Linked DNA regions of Callithrix jacchus. The protein of the gene in region 1 purifies or fractionates together with the protein of each later gene. This does not show direct contact. Links are inferred from orthologs where the notes say so. Each region holds a gene or a part of one and is shown on either strand. Other genes may lie near its edges.

Region 1 (3,816 bases):
TTGGATGGGCCACGTAAGCCTCATGCCCGTATCACTGAAATGAGAATTATAAAGCCTGCAGAATATGATTTAAGAGAACTAATTAGGTCTGATGGCTTTTAATTGGTACTGTGACATCCTACCTTTGTGGTAAGGTACTACTGTCCTGAGTCTTTTGGCTGGGAAAGGATTCTACAAGGTTGAAGCTAATATTTACAGACATCATGGAGTTTTATTTCTTTGAGTTCTTTATAAACCAAGAAAGTGTTAGTGGTATGGGGTGAGCAAAGCTGCCTTCCAAATCAAGAAAGATTCTCACCCGCTTAGGCTAATTTTAGTATGCTCCTGCTTCTCCTAGGGAAGGAGGAACTTTGGAAAATGTGAGTTAACTGGGAACTGGAAGACCCCTGCTCACTATTTACATAAAAGATTCTCCTGAAGCAACAAAAAACAAAAACAAAAAACAACGAAACACTGCTTAGCTTTATTTTTTGTAAGAACAATACTTACAATCAAAGAGCTGAACTGTTCCCCATTGGAGTCTGGAGTGATCTGAAGCCTTCTGCTCAGTTCCTCTGACAGCTCCTGAGGGCTGGTCCGAGATCCCGGGGAGGCCGGTGGTGGGGGCAGAGCCAGACTGAGAGAGTCTCCAGCAATATTCACTTCCTCTGAAATAGTCTCCCAAGGCTTTCAGAGAAGGAGACACTGGGGTAAATGCTAGGAAATGGGGATCTGCCCAGCTCCCCAACAAAAGCATGTAACAACGATAGCCACAGTAATAACTATAATACCTACTAAGCGCCTCTCACAACCTTCACAATAATCGTGAGGAAGATAAGATATATTTAAAACCTTCAATTAACAGATGAGGAAACTGAGGCACAGAGAATGACCTGCCCAAGGTAACAGCTAGCAAGTGGTAGGGCCATGATGTGAACTAAAGAGGCCTGGTTCTAGACAGAGGCTGTGCTCGTAACCACTTTATACCACCACCTCTCTGAATGGTGACTGATTTCCAGCACTTGTTACTTTATGCATGTGCCAAAACACACACACACACACACACACACACACACACACACACACACACTTTTCTCTTGACATGGACTTCCTTTTTAATCACCGCATTGTGAATGATCTTCCTAAGACAACGTCTAAAATGGATTTTTAGTATGTAAACAGAGCTGATAAGACATCATGGAAGTTTATGGCTCATCTGTTGTTTAATTCATAAAGTTTTAAGTAGTATATCATAACAGCTTAAAGGGAAAATTGCAAATTTTTATTCACCCAAATTTATATTTTCATGGTAATAAATTTCTTTCAAGGTGTCAAAGCGACTCAGTAAAAACGTGCATGTGATATCCAAACAAGTTATAGGGCTCATTCAACAGCTCAACTATGATAACTAAGTTGTCATTTAATGAAACATGGTTAGACGCTGGTGAAAAATAAATTACAAAGTGAAAATATCTTCAGATTTTCATACTGAAAGATAATGTTGGCTGGGCTCATTGGCTCATGCCTGTAATCCCAGCGCTTTCGGGGGCTGAGGCAGATGGATCATTAAGTCAGGAGTTCAAGACCAGCCTGGCCAATATGGTGAAACCTTGTCTCTACTAAAAATACAAACAAACAAAGAAACAAACAAAAAAATCAGCTGGGTGTGGTGGCGGGCGCCTATAATCCCAGCTACTCGGGAGGCTGAGGCAGGAGAATTGCTTGAATCTGAGAGGCAGAGGTTGCAGTGAGCCGAGATCACACCACTGCACACCAGCCTAGGAGACATAGCAAGACTCCATCTTGGGGGAAAAAAACAATAATGTCATTCCCAGTTCTATCAATAATAGAGCCACATGTACTTGTCAAATATGGCTTTTATAGCACTTTCAAATTAATTAATATCCATATGGTAATTAATTCACTGTGTCAACATCATCTTTACATTCTCAACAACATTTACTGAGAGAAGAATTGATGATATAAAATCAGTCTGGAGAACATGGAAAGAAGGAGCTGCAGGGCTCTGCAGCATTCTGGGGACATCGTACCTCTGGGACATCCCCGCCCTCCGAGGGCTCCGGCTCCAAGTCCTCGCTGATGTGCCTGCGGGACCGGAAGCGCCGGTGCGCTGCCTCCTGGTTGATCTGTCTGATGTTATTGTCCGACTCAGAGGACACGTCCCTGAGCACGCAGGAAAGGGGGAAGGAGAAAAAGAGGAGAAGTGGTTGAGATGGAGCCTTTCATGACAGTCCAGTGCCCACAGAGGGCCAGATGCCCACTCAAGCGTCAGCATAAAACACTGACTAGCTGGTCATCCAATGTGAGAATTCTCCCACCATATCACAGCTGAAGTATACGTTAAGGTTCACTGCAATCAAATAAGTGCAGTTTTAAAATGCATTACACCATTTTGAGTATCTTTCAGGCATTTATTTGAGTATCTTTCAGGCATATTTGAGTATCTTTCAGGCATATATAAGGTACTAAAGTATACCTTAGTGTTAAATAAAAAACAGAAATCAAAGTCCTCTACCCATCTGTCACAGTGACAAGTCAGGCCTCTGGAAGGAGAGGTGACAGGCGAGTTCACACAGCAGCTGGGCAGTCCCAATCCTTCTAGAAGTCCAGCAACGACAAGGCAGCTACTTTTGGTCACCAGCAATTTGACCAAAGACTACAAAAGGTACAAATTCAAAGCTGCCATCGAGATGAAAGTACATCTGATCCAACGTGAATTCTTTTCAGCTGCTTTCTAGCTCATTTTGACAGAATCGCAAAATTGTGACACTGCATTTCTCCTCTTTACCCTACTTTAAAAATCCTAGTAACTCTCAAGTCAGCTGGGGTCTGAAGACCACCACCACATCACACCGTATTTTTTGTCATGTGATGCTCTCGATTCAGGATCTAAAAGTTTTGATTCAATTTTGAAAACTTTTTTGGGCTGGGCATGCTGACTCATGCCTATAATCCCAACACTTTGGGAGGCAAGGGTGGGTGAATCACTTGAGGTCAGGAGTTCAAGACGTGCCTGGCCAACATGGCGAAACCCCGTCTCTACTAAAAATATGAAAATTAGCCAGGTGTGGTGGCATGTGTCTGTAGTCCCAGCTACTCAGGAGGCTGAGGCAGGAGAATCACTGAACCCAGGAGGCAGAGGTTGCAGTGAGATGAAATTGCACCACTGCACTCCATCCAGGACAGAAGAGTGAGACTCCATCTCAAAACAAATACAAAAACAAACCAACTATTTTTTTGCAGTAAATTAAAGGCAATCATTCTTTGGGGGGAAATACTAGTCAGAGGCTTTTACTGTACAAGTTTAAATGCCAAAAAGGTTTTCAGGGAAAACTCTCACAGATACTTTCAATAAGACAGCATATCATGTTAATGAAAATTACTGCACAAGTTAATATCTCAAAAGTTGAAATCTTTATTTCACATTAACTGAAATATAGTACTTATCAAGAACACTCATTATAGACTCCGTCTAAAACACAAATTTTAAAATTTTCTTACACATTCTGAAATGAACTTATGCCATATCCCAATAAAGAGCCTGCTAGCAGAGGCTGTGGTGGAAACTTTCCTTAACTAACTTTCTTCTTGCCTTCTGGAAGTCATGCCCATTGGAAGGAGGCACTCCTCAGGTTCCACCAAGTTCTGCTGTGTCCTTCCTGGCTCAGCCCCTCCCTTTGGCATTGCTGCCTCTCTGATGGGGTAGCTATGCCTCTGCCTTCTCCCAAAACTACATGTGAACCTGAACCTGGATTGAGAACTGCATTTTTCGGCCGGGTGCAGTGGCTCACACCTGTAATCCCAGTACTTTGGGAG
Region 2 (3,816 bases), on another chromosome or scaffold:
TCTTTATTAAATATATGATCTCAAGGAAATTAACTAAACACTCCAGGACTCTGAGCCTCTTTTTGAAGTTAGGAAGAGAAATATTGTTCCTTCTCAGCCTCAAGTCACCAAAGGACAATGTGGAGGAAGATGGCGCTTGCGTGAGGCTCCTGAAACTCACAATCATTTCCTTCAAGGAAAAGAACAGAGCCCGTTGGGGTTTTCTGAGTGGCTCACGTGGCCAGGAATAAGGAAGTTACTTGTACCTGCTTTGTGGGAAACAAAAAATTAATTGTTTTTCTCAGATTTTTCTCCCAGAACAGAAACTATTATCTCTTTAAACATAATACCCTTGGTGCCAACCTAACTATTTACATAATTCCCCTACATGGGCAATGGGAAAAATACTTCGGGTCATAAAAGGATAAGAAGTTCTGAAGTAATTTCTATGAAGAATTTTAACGTACAGATTGCTTAAAGCTTCTCTCAGGCTCGAGCAAACATTATTATTTAGGTCATGAAATTCTAGAAGAAAAAGGAATCCCTCAGGGTACTGCCCTATACACAGCTGCCAGCAGCTGCGAAGCTTATCCCTACAGGCAGGGAGTGGTTTCGGCAGGTAAGCAAGAAGAAATGACGGAAGAACCATTTCTGGGGGCTGATATGCTTAAGAGCAGCGGAGACGACTTGGCCTCCCAGGGGGCATTTTTGGTCAGTTTAACACTGGGGAGCAGGTGCTTCTGGCGTCAGGCAAGTGGGGGCCAGGAATGCTGTTCAATATCCTACAATGCACAGGATGGCCCTTACAACAAAGAAATGTCTTGGTCCAGGCGCAGTGGCTCACACCTGTAAATCCAGCACTTTGGGAGGCTGAGGTGGGTGGATCACCTGAGGGTCAGAAGTTCGAGACCAGCCTGGCCAACATGGTGAGACCCCCATCTAAAAATACAAAAAAATTAGCCAGGCATGGTGGTACATACCTGTAAGCCCAACTACTCGGGAGGCTGAGGCAAGAGAATCACTTGAGCCTGGGAGGCAGAGGTTATAGTGAGCCTAGCTAGTGCCACCTCACTCCAGCCTGGGCAACAAAGCGAGACTCCGTCTCAAAAAAAAAAAATGTCTTGGGCCAAGCGCAGTGGCTCACACCTGCAATCCCAGCACTTTGGGAGGTCAAGGGGGGCAGATTACCTGAGGTCAAGAGTTCTAGACCAGCCTGGCCAGTGTGGTGAAATCCCATATCCACTAAAAATACAAAAAATAGGCATGGTGCATGGTTGTGCACACCTATAATCCCAGGTACACAGGAGGCTGAGACAGGAGAATCGTTTGAACCTGCGCAGTGGAAGCTACAGTGAGTAGAGATCATGCCACTCCACTCTAGCTGAGCAACAAATCCAGACTCTATCTCAAAAAAAAAGGCCGGGTGCAGTGGCTCACGCCTCTAATCTCAAGACTTTTGGAGGCCAAGGTGGGCAGATCACTTGAAGTCAGGAGTTTGAGACCAGCCTGGCCAACATGGTGAAACCCTGTCTTTACTAAATACAAATATTGGCTGACCATGGCGCCTGTAGTCCCAGCTACTTGGGAGGCTGAGACAGGACAATCGCTTGAACCTGGGAGGTAGAATTTGCAGTGAGCCGAGATCATACCACTGCACTCCAGCCTGGGTGACAGAGCAAGACTCCGTTGGAAAGGGAAAGGGAAAGAGAAGGAAAGGAAGAAAGGAAAGAAAGAGAAAAAGAGAGAAAGGAAGAAAGGGAGAAAGAGAGAAGAAGAAGGAAACAAGGAAAGGAAAGAAAGAGAGAAGAAAGAAAAAGAAAGAAAAGGGGGGAGAGAGAGAAAGAAAGGGAATGAACGAACTGTCTGGCACAATGTCACTCTGGTCCAGTTGAGAACCACCCCCCCGGCCCCCGCCACCGCCCGCAGCACCCAGAGAGAAGGGCAGGAGGTCTTGGGGCCACACAGGAGGCAGACTCACCCCAGCAGGCACAGGCTCCCGCAGGACAGCCAGGTCAGAGCACCGGCGTTATAGGACAGCTGACTCACGATCATCTTGTTGCAGGAAGGACAACACATCTGGACAGGGCGGTCGGCAAAGGAGATGGGCTGCTGCACATAGACCGTCTGCACGGCAACTGATGGAAGGGAGAGGGACAAACACAAGCTGCTCAGGAAACACGGCCACAGCATTCGCTACAGAACAAAGAGGGGAACGCAGGGACGCCGTAGATATTCTATCTGTATATCCGTGTTCACAGCACGTGTCCATCGTTTGGCTACCTAGGAGAGCCAAAGGGGAAGGGACTCACGTGTCCACTGACGGACGAATGAATTAACACATCAGGGTTTATCCATCCACTGAGTATGATTCAGGCTCATAAGAGGGCTGGGGGCAGTGGTTCACACCTATATTCCCAATATTTTGGGATGACGAGGTGGAGGATCACTTGAGACCAGGAGTTCAAGATCAGCCTGGGCAACATGACAAAACCTCATCTCTACAAAAAACTATAAAAACTAGCCAGGCATAGTGGTGCATGCCTGTAGTCCCAGCTACGCAGGAGGCTGAGGTGGGAGGATCACTTGAGTCTGAGAGGTTGATGCTGCAGTGAGTCGTGACAGTGCCACTGCACTCCAGTCTGGGCAACAGAGCGAGACTTGGTCTCAGAAACAAATAAATAAATAATTGTAACCCGTCTCACACTGCGTCTAGCAGCTCCTGATAAACAATCCCCTTTTTTTACACAGATCCTTTGTAATTTCTGGCTCCCAATGATAAGGGAGAGTTTATCATGCCAGGAAATGCAGGCCAACTCTGTGAGACAACAAGCTCATGAACTGTGTTGACGTAAGAAATGAAATATTAAATAATGCCGGGAAGACACAGCTAAGTGAAAACATCTGTGGACATTCACAAGAATCAGAAGAGAAACCAGGCCGGGCACAGTGGCTCACATCTGTAATCCCAGCACTTTGGGAGGTTGAAGAGGGTGGATAACCTGAGGTCAGGAGTTCAAGACCAGCCTGGCCTACATGGTGAAACCACATCTCTACTAAAAAGACAAAAATTAGCCGGGCATAGTGGCACAGGCCTGTAGTCCCAGCTACTCGGGAGGCTAAGGCTAGAGAATCATGTGAACCCAGGAGGCAGAGGTTGCAATGAGCTGAGATCATGCCATCACACTCCAGCCTGGGCAACAGAGTGAGTCTCTGTCTCAAAAAAAAAAAAAGGAAGAGAATCCAGGGTGATGAAAATCATTAAGCACTTCAGTTGTTAAGTTCATATTTTTGTCAAAGCTACTTCCTTCTGTTCCTTTTTACATTGTTAGAATGCCATTTATATAACCAATGGAAACTAACGACTGCCTAGAGTTAAACTTAGAAATACTCATAGAAAGACCCTCCTTCCAGAAAAGTAGTATTGCATCATACTTTAGCATTTATGTTAATTTTTTAAAAAAAATTTTTAGAAGCAGAGTCTTGTTCTGTCTCCCAGGCTGGAGCACAAGGGTACAGTAATAGCTCACTGCAGCATCAACCTCCTGGCCTCAAGCAATCCTCCCACCTCAGCCTCCCAAGTAGCTGGGACTACAGTCGCAAGCTATCACACTCAGCTACTTCTATTTTCATAGAGACAAAGTCTCACTATGTCACTCAGGCAGGTCTCGAACTCCTGGCCTCAGGTGATCCTCCTGCCTCAGCCTCCCAAGTAGCTGGGACTACAGTCGCAAGCTATCACACTCAGCTACTTCTATTTTCATAGAGACAAAGTCTCACTATGTCACTCAGGCAGGTCTCGAACTCCTGGCCTCAGGTGATCCTCCTGCCTCAGCCTCC

The links.
Region 2: the proteins of NEDD4L (region 1) and LITAF purify together in Homo sapiens (affinity purification with western blotting; 3 studies listed by BioGRID and IntAct, counting the BioPlex papers as one, with this or other methods). This does not show direct contact. The link is inferred for Callithrix jacchus from reciprocal best matches to the Homo sapiens genes NEDD4L and LITAF.

What each region holds. Positions count from the first base shown.
Region 1 is NC_133514.1:101,373,204-101,377,019, reverse strand, and holds part of NEDD4L (E3 ubiquitin-protein ligase NEDD4-like), read right to left. Parts: intron 2,164-3,816; coding exon 2,031-2,163; intron 667-2,030; coding exon 490-666; intron 1-489. UniProt on the Homo sapiens protein: E3 ubiquitin-protein ligase that mediates the polyubiquitination of lysine and cysteine residues on target proteins and is thereby implicated in the regulation of various signaling pathways including autophagy, innate immunity or DNA repair.
Region 2 is NC_133513.1:17,571,235-17,575,050, reverse strand, and holds part of LITAF (lipopolysaccharide-induced tumor necrosis factor-alpha factor), read right to left. Parts: intron 2,115-3,816; coding exon 1,958-2,114; intron 1-1,957.